Linked DNA regions of Rattus norvegicus. Each later gene encodes a partner of the first gene's protein in a complex. Links are inferred from orthologs where the notes say so. Each region holds a gene or a part of one and is shown on either strand. Other genes may lie near its edges. The genes, in order: Cmc1 and Smim20.

What was found.
Region 2: Cmc1 (region 1) and Smim20 share a complex: the UniProt entries of both Homo sapiens proteins name them as parts of the MITRAC (mitochondrial translation regulation assembly intermediate of cytochrome c oxidase complex) complex. The link is inferred for Rattus norvegicus from reciprocal best matches to the Homo sapiens genes CMC1 and SMIM20.

What each region holds. Positions count from the first base shown.
Region 1 is NC_086026.1:126,732,681-126,737,010, reverse strand, and holds the start of Cmc1 (COX assembly mitochondrial protein homolog), read left to right. Parts: upstream 1-1,447; 5' UTR 1,448-1,607; coding exon 1,608-1,626; intron 1,627-1,637; exon of another isoform or gene 1,638-1,786; intron 1,787-4,330. UniProt on the Homo sapiens protein: Component of the MITRAC (mitochondrial translation regulation assembly intermediate of cytochrome c oxidase complex) complex, that regulates cytochrome c oxidase assembly.
Region 2 is NC_086032.1:61,932,500-61,936,825, reverse strand, and holds the start of Smim20 (small integral membrane protein 20), read left to right. Parts: upstream 1-1,293; 5' UTR 1,294-1,389; coding exon 1,390-1,504; intron 1,505-4,326.

The DNA.
Region 1 (4,330 bases):
AAATCAAAAAATTCCAAAATAATATCGTCTAGGGTAGGGCAAAAGCAAACAAGTAACTGCTTAGATATTCTGAAAGGTGAACTGTTTTAAGTAGAAATACTATCATGTTTCCTGTGACAGTCATGGCAGAAACTATAGAAGAGGTCCCTCAAAGTTTATGAGGTGTGTTCTGTTTTGAGTGTATTCCTAGGAATGACCTTGGAAATGAAACCGAAGTCCAGAAATAAAACACTGGAACTTATTTTCACGCCGCAGGCGTGGCTACAGGATTCAAGAGAGCGTACACAGTTCTAACTGAAGCAGACCAAAAGCATCCCATTTATCAAGATATGTTTTGCCTATGTGGTTTGATTACTTGAGTGTTGGATGCCCGACTTCTGATTTTATAACTCATCTCATAGTCTCTAAATCTTCAGGTGTATTTGTTACACACAGCGAGTGGTCAGCTTGAGCATCTGCCTAATCCAACAACGGCAGCAACAAAACGTCGTTTTGGTCTTTCTAACTCATCCGCTTCCAGCAAAATAAAAAGGGGACCCATAGCAGCTTCTGTGTGTTTCTCAGCACATTTATAAAACATACAAGTAAAAGAACCGACTTCTGCCCGGCTGAGTGAAGGTTTAATTCTCCACCTTGGCACCTCAGCCTCTAGCTGTAATGAGAGCGTTATGTCCAAACAGGCCCTTAAACCGGAGCCCTGCTGAGCAGAGACGCACTTTCCCAGGCCTGTTCAACTGGGGTATCCTTTCTGCCAACTGACCAGGCAGACTCAGCAGCAGGGAAGAAGGGACTGCAGGTAGGTGGGAAGGGAATCATTTTGAAAGCCTTAAATCCCTCGTAGCGAAGAGGCAGCTGCTCCACGTTTTCCCAAACATCTGTCCCTGGCCCTACTCACCATTTGGAGGCTTGAGTTCATTAAATGGAGATCTGATAGACTCAGCCAGAACTGAAGGTCGGTCAGTGAGTGGAAACAGGCCTAAGGGCCGCCCTGAAAGTTACCTTCGGGCAACTGTTCCTTTCCCTTATGTCAGCAACAGATCACAGCTTTCAAGGAGAGTCAAGATCCATCACATCACCCAGACTGGACTGCCCAGGGTGTGTTCACAAAACACGTCTCCTGGACAGGACTCCTCCTGCAGGTGGCTTTCCTCCCGGGAACAACGCGTCAAGAATAAGGGCTTTATTTTTATTACTTTTCCTCTGGCACTCAAGACTGAGGCCGAAACCCGACAGGGACAGAAGGACATTCAGAACCTTTGAGATAAGAGGCCCAAGTCTCAAATCCCACGTGCTAAGTCAGGCAGCACACATTGAGGCAGCCTCTTGAAGGCGCATGCGTGGCCACGCCCCCTCCTGGGCATTCCGCGAGAAACCCGCCCACTCTACCGCAGGATTCCCGTAGAGGGCAGTCGGGCGCAGGCGTAGAACAAACCGAGGGTAGGAACAGGGGAAGGGGGTGTGGTCTGTTCTCACAGCGGAGGTCGCGCACCCGCTCTCCTGCGGGAAGCTGCGGGCGGGCGAGCGGCTGCGCGCGCAGTCCAGCTTAGGCTCCTCCCCGTCCCGGCTCCAGAGCCGGCGAGTGGCTTGCTGCTTCTCCGCCCTCCGAGATGGCGCTGGACCCCGCAGGTACTGGGGTCGGCGTGGTTGTGAGGGCCTAGGCGCCAGGGGTCAGGTGCTCCAAGGATGCGTGGCTTCCGCAGTTAGCACCTCATTCAGCCCGGCGGCTGGGTTTCCACTCTCGGTGACAGGCCGTCCATCTGCTGCTCGCTGGGGCTCTAGTTGCTCGGTGAGGGGCGTTGGATTCCTTGTGTCAACTTTCACTATCTCTTCAGTCTCTTCACCGCCTAGTTTTTGTTTTTGCTTTTTTTTCTTTCCTCCTTTGGGGCACAGGCTCCTTTTAAACAGTATCGGGTGTAGACAAAGTTGTCCCAGAAAACTGAAGTTTCACTCTGGTGCACAGTTTGACATTCTGTTTCCGGTAATTTTATGCCTTCTCCCAAGTTCATCCTGGTAGGTCAGTGTAACAAACGCTCCACGACTGACTGGCTAGAGGCATTTTCTTGGAAAGGCTCTCCAATACATCTTCCGTGTCGTTTTAATTTGCATGATTCCCATCACTTACGTTTGCAGTCGAGTTCAGGTCCTCAGGAAGTTTTTCAGAAAGCGCCCTCCCAGTATTTTACTTGATTTAAGTAACGGTGAAAAGGCAGAGACAGAAAGGTAATGAGTCTAGTCTTAATGGATAGGAAAACTCCAGGTATTGATAGGTTAGAGACTTTCAAACCTTTGAAGAATCTGAAGCGAAAGGTCACATGTAGCCCTCACATAGGATGGAAACTAGGTATAGCATTCGAATAACTTGTCATTTTATTATCAAGCCAATGTATTCAGTTGTCCCAGAATAGTACTTGCCTGGTTGGTTCTTTTATCTCCATTTTCAGAGTAGGAAGCAGGCTCAGAAAGGTTAAGCCGCTGCTTTTAGTCACCCCTCCTAGTTCTTTCCTAGCTGGCGCCTTTGTCCGTCAGCTTTGAATTAAAATGTCAGTTCCTTATAGAACTTAGCACCGTCTAAAGCAACCTTGGTTCATCTACTGCAGCACCCTGCTTACTTCGCACCTCACGTAATTGACCAGAGTCTGTAAGTGTATTAGTATAATCTGAAGCATAAAGCAGTTGCGGAACACCGCTCGGATCTTATCAATTTGAAGCAAAATATTTGGACTGAAGTTTGAAGCGGCATCGTTGAGCAGTGATCATGTGGTAAGACACAGAGTCTTACTTGATTTGAGGGTGACAAGTTTGATTGGAAGGTAGGAGGCAGTAATGAAGCATGGGTAAGGGAAGTTCAGGTAAAGTGCATATAATTTTGGTATTTCATGACCTTGAAAATGATACTCATACAGATAGGGATAGGGACACTCAGGTTAAAGCAGTGGTTCTCAGCCTTCCCAATGCAGAGACCCTTTAACAGTTCCTCATGTTGTGGTGACCCCCCCAACCATAGAATTATTTTCATTGCTACCTCACTTCATGACTATAATTTTGCTACTGTGAGGAATCGTGATGTAAATTTTTTTGGAGATAGAAGTTTGCCAAAAGGATGGTGATGCACAGGTTGGGAACCACTGAGCTAAAGGCCTGGATGGATCTTTATTTAGACAGATGAGAAAGTGTAAGAAACAAACAGTTCATACTTGCTCCTACGGGTTTCTAGTTCTCTTAACCCCGTCTGAATGTGCAGTGTGCTCAAGGCGTCATAGCTATTGTCTGATAAGACCAAGTTTTGTTACGAACCACTTGGTTCCTTTCTCAACCCAGACTGTCAACCATGCCTTTATTTTAGTACCTTTTGGTAAACTTGTTGGTGGCTCAGTGTTCTTGGTGTATATTGTTCTGTAACCTAGGAAACAGTAACATATAGGACAAACAAGGACCCCCACCTAAAGTAGCCTCTCCCTGTTTGTTCACAGACACTAAAAGACATGAAGTAGATTGTGAGGAGAGAGCTACTTTTGTTAAGAGCTTTTATGGAGAAACACCATTTGCTTTAAAATATCAAGAGAAGAAGCTACCATGAAAAGAGCTGGGAGCTGGGGCCATGGTGGGCATTCAATGTGGCAAATGCTTGAAAAAATATTGAACTGACAGGGCAGAGTGGCGAGAAGAACCATAAGGAAGAAGGTTGTCAAAGTGGGCTTGAGGTGAACACCTCGTTGGTTTAGGGACTTGAATTCTACTATAAAGCATCTTAATTCTTTTTTTTTTAAAGATTTATTTATTTATTATATATAAGTACACTGTAGCTGTCTTCAGACACATCAGAAGAAGGCATTAGATCCCATTACAGATGGTTGTGAGCCACCATGTGGTTGCTGGGAATTGAACTCAGGACCTCTGGAAGAGCAGTCAGTGCTCTCAACCACTGAGCTATCTCTCCAGCTCTAGCGTTTTAATTCTGTTTCCTTTCAGTTTTTCTCAAAGTCTGGACCCAAGAGTGAGATGTAGGCAGCATCTGTATTCTCATGTGACTTTTCTTTAAACTTTCCCTTTTACAGAGTTGATAACACACTCCCTGAAGGTTTATCTTTTTATTATTGTTATTATTATTATTATTATTATTATTATTATTATTATTATTATTACAGTTATACTTATTGTTTTCAACTGTGATAAGTGGAAGAGACTAGAGAAAGGACAAAGTACTAAGCAAAGTGGTAGTGAGAGGGATTGGATTTGTACTGGTGCCTGCCTGAGCTGCACTGCGCTCTTAGATCCTCTGACACTGAAGTACTTGTTAGACGGCTCAGACATATTGCTCTGTCTGTACGAT
Region 2 (4,326 bases), on another chromosome or scaffold:
CCTTGGGACTACATCAGTCATCGGCAACAGGCTGCATCCAGGATTAGTTATCTTTTCATGTATTTGTTCCGTGGTCGGATCCTGGAGAGCAGAGGTCATGTCTTATTCATCTTGTGTCCCCCTTTGCACTTTGCCTGCTGTTCGGGGGGCATAGTGAGATAGTCTATAAATCTGTTGACAGATTGAACGACTGATTTATATGCTGCTAGAGCCAGAGGTAGATGGAATCTTGATTCGACTACAAAACTACAGAGAAAAAGACCTGTGTTCACCACATCATTTCTGAGAGATTGCTGATCTTCTCTGGACTAAATAATGTTGCTGAGGTCAAGATAAATACCTTCTGTGAAGCCCAGCCTCGCTACTGCTGTCATTTCTATTTCTAAGGGATTGAGTGAAGGCCAGAGGAATGTTGGTCTTAGCTGCCCAGCTCCCTGAGGAGATCATATCTTCTGACGAAGGCTCTGTAAAAGGGAACAGGTGCAGAGGTGGGGGAAAGCGATCGTGGGACGAGGGAGCAGGTGTCAGTCTTCAGAGGCTCCGCCCCAGGCAAAGAGCCAGAGCCCTAGGGACCTGCCACTGACTCTGTGATGTTCCCAGGCTTTAATAGATTTTGTTTGCAGCCCTCTGTTAGTTTTGGGAATTCCTGTCTACTTTCTGGAACCCCTCATAACCCAGCACACATAACATGGAGAGCAGAGAGGATGAGGGATCAAAATTAGATCACTTTGGGTGCTCAAATACCCTCCTTAAAAGGCTGCTCTGGTTCAGAAGACACAGTGACTAATTTTGCAAATGCCTTGCAATCCATTCGAACCAGGAGATTTGTTCCTTTGTGACTCGTGCCCACAAACAACTTTCAAAGAGGGAGACCCAGTGACTTGCTCAGCCTTTCAGATGCTTCTAGCCTGTCACCAATCACAAATGTCACAATGTTAATGAAGGGGAAGGGTGAAAAAGTGTTGTTGGTAATAGACGAGTAAAACAGGAGGTGGTAATTGGAGCAGAGAAGGAAGGACGCAGACCCGAGGCGAGTAAGAGGTCAAAAGGGGGCTCGAGAAAGGAGTGTAGCCAAATTTGTGACTGCACGGGCCACCCAGTGTCTCGCCCTCCACGCAGTCAGCCTGAGGCGAGGAGGCGGGGCTCGGTTTGAGTCTCCGCCCCATGCCTCGCCCTTCCTAGAAGACCCCGCCCTCAGATGATCCCGCCCCACTGCGAGGAGTCTTTCAGCCCAGGCCCCGCCTCCGAGCCCAGAAACTCCGCCCTGCACCCAAATCCCGGAAGCGAGAGTTGCTCCGCCTCTTCCGAGCCGGGTCGCGACCTTGAGGCTGGGAGTCGGGTTTCGGAGCGTGCCGGGCCTTCGCCCGCCCTGCAGCCCCCTTTCTCACCATGGCCGCGGCCCGGAACCTGCGCACCGCGCTCATATTCGGAGGCTTCATCTCTATGGTCGGAGCCGCCTTCTACCCTATCTACTTCCGGCCCCTTCTGCGGCTGGAAGAATACCGTGAGTGACCTCTGACCCCGCGCAGTGGCTGCTCCCAGCGCTACCCCGAAGTCTTTAAGCCCCTACCCTAACTGTTCAAGGAGTACTGAGGAAGGAGGTGGACTTAGGAGTGAGGCTACCCAGGGTCCAGGCTCGCCCAGTGCAGCCCGGTGATCTCGGACAAGTGGCCCCACCTCCGACCTTCAATGTTAAGAGTCTAAATAATCAGTTGCAGGATCAGCCACAGAACTGGAGCATCTTAGGGGTCACAGAGGTGATGTGTATGAAAGCAGCCTGCACACAGCAGGTCAACACTAACACTAGTTCACACACAGTTACTATATACTGAATATTTAATGTGTCAGGTTAGTCATATATCGAATCATTGAATTTGCACAGCCTTCCCTTGAGGTAGGTACTACCCATTTTACAGATGGAGGTCACACAGCTAGTAAGTGGTGGGGGAAATGTTCCAACCCAGTCTTCTGCCTGCAGAGCCCTCCCCTCCATTCACCCAGGCTGAGATGGTACTTTAGTGGGAGCCTTGATCATCCTGAGTTGAAAGGTGTTTTTATGGTGCATCATTGCCGTCCCCTAAGATGTCTTGGAGCGGAAATATTTCAAAGCTAAACTGTTAACCTGGGTTTTGAGTTTTTCCTCAAATCGTTTTTTTAGATTCTGCTGGTTTCCTTCGTTTTAAGCTGGTTGCTCACATGACAATGGTGAATGCCGGGGGAGTCATTTTTTTCCTTAATCATTCAGGTCCTATCATTCTAAAAGCCAAACTCTCCTTCCTGGAGACCTATACCTCAGCAAGGATTAGCACTTTGATACATCTGAAGCCATCTGTCAGAGAGGAGAGATGAGGCATTAGAGGATCATTTTGTTCTCCAGGAACCTGAACCATCTTGAAGATGAAGAGGGCCAGCCCAGCCCCCTGGGGAATATTAGCCGGAGCTGAAGCTTGGCGGTTTGACGCTTCATGTAAATGCTCTGACCATCTCTAGTGCTGTAGCACTTGGGTTCCAGAGGCAAAGCAGTTTCAAGTACACACACGAATCCCCTGGCAGCAGCTTTTTACCAGCTCAGACTGAGACGGTCTCTGTGCTTCCTGCCTACAAGTCCTTCTGCATACCCCGTGTGTGGAAGGAACATGGGCTGTGTAGGGTCCTGCAGAATTCGTCTCCATCCTTTTCCCTTGCTGGGTCCATGCCCCGGGCTATTTTATTACAGCTTCTAGAGTTGGACTCGAGACAGAAAGATCTGCTGTGGGTTCCCTTCGAAAACTCCCAGTTCTGAAAACGGGTATGGTTCTTAGCCAGTGTGCTATCTATCTGGAGTTGGTTTTGCTTGTCACAGCTAAGGGACAGAAGGGGAGGTGAGTAGGTTATTAGTATCTACTAGATAGGATCCAGGATAAATTTTCCATGATGCACAGAAGTCACCTGTGAGGAAGCATCAAAGGGTGAGGGCTGCCCAGCTCTTAATCAGTGAGTCAAGAGGAGACATGGCTTCCAGGAATACTCCCCAGTCTTTGGCTGACCAAGTTGCTTTAGACGGGCAGGTCAGGCTCCAAGGCTGTCCATACCCGCTTACCTTTTAGCTTATTAAAATAATTCAGCCAACTTTAACCAAAAGTTGTAACTAAATCTTTCAAGAAAGTCATACTAAACAGCTAATTTTTATCTGAAGTTAATTTTTAACACCCTTCCAAGCACTTCAACTCTACCAAGCCATTTAGTGCTCATAATAACCCTTTGTGGTAGCTGTTAGCTGAATGACATATAGACAGGGTATTTCCTCACTCTGAACCTTGCCCCCCCCCCCAGCCCCCTAGGCTGTGGTGATGGTGTTTACTGAACTGAATTTACAGGCTTAGGGTGAATTAAGTAGAGCATTACTTGTAGAAGTCTCTAGTATAGTCTCATATGAGGAATTGTACAAAAAGCACTTTTAAAAGAGGGCTTTGGTGAGGGACGAGCTATAAGCAGTTGTGTGCCTAAGGCCAGCGACCCAGCCCTAAGCATGTCCAGCTGGCTCAACGTATGCTCAGGAACTGGGAGCCTGCTGTGCAGGTGAGCTTCTCAGCCCATTTCAATCCTCAGTATTTATAGTATTTCACTGCTTTCCTTTCATATACTCAGCCTGGATTTTAGCTGTCACTTGGGTCTGGTACAGTTTAGATGTGGGGCAGAGCTGGGCTGACCCCAGTCTCTTCCCCTGCCACCCTTCTCACTCCGTCCTGGCCATGTGCATCTTGTGTAGTGTTTTAGCCCAAGCATTCTCTGCCCCTTTACTCACTAACATCACTGTTTTATCTTTACTCACCAACTCTTCGTCTTTCCCATGCGCCCCTCGTGCTTTTCTTGTGTGCATTATTATTTTCTTTTTCTTAAAGCTGAAAAGAAATGTGTGCTGTTGAGAGGGTGGATGTATGGCAGCTTATGTGTGTCAATTTCGGAGGACAACTCTGGAGTCATTTCTCCCCTGTTTTAACATAGGCTGTGGGGGTTGGATTTAGGTCATTGGGCTTGCATGGTAAGTGCTTTACCGGCTGAGCTGTCTTGCTGGCCCCGGTTGAGGTCTTTCTGAAATACACCTGGTACTAGTTCTTTGGTGAGAATTTGTAATAGGAACCTGTTTTGGTTTGTTAGGAAATGTGGAGCCCTCTGGGTCGTTGGCACTGGTTCTGCCATTTGTCCTTCAAGGGCAGTCATCTGGCTTGCTTAATTAAAACCCTGCAGTTACCCACTGCTATCCTCAGAGTCCAGCCAGTGGAGGTTATTGAAGTATTTTAACAAGGTGACTAGATTCACTGTGGGCCAGCTTCAGTACCACTGTGG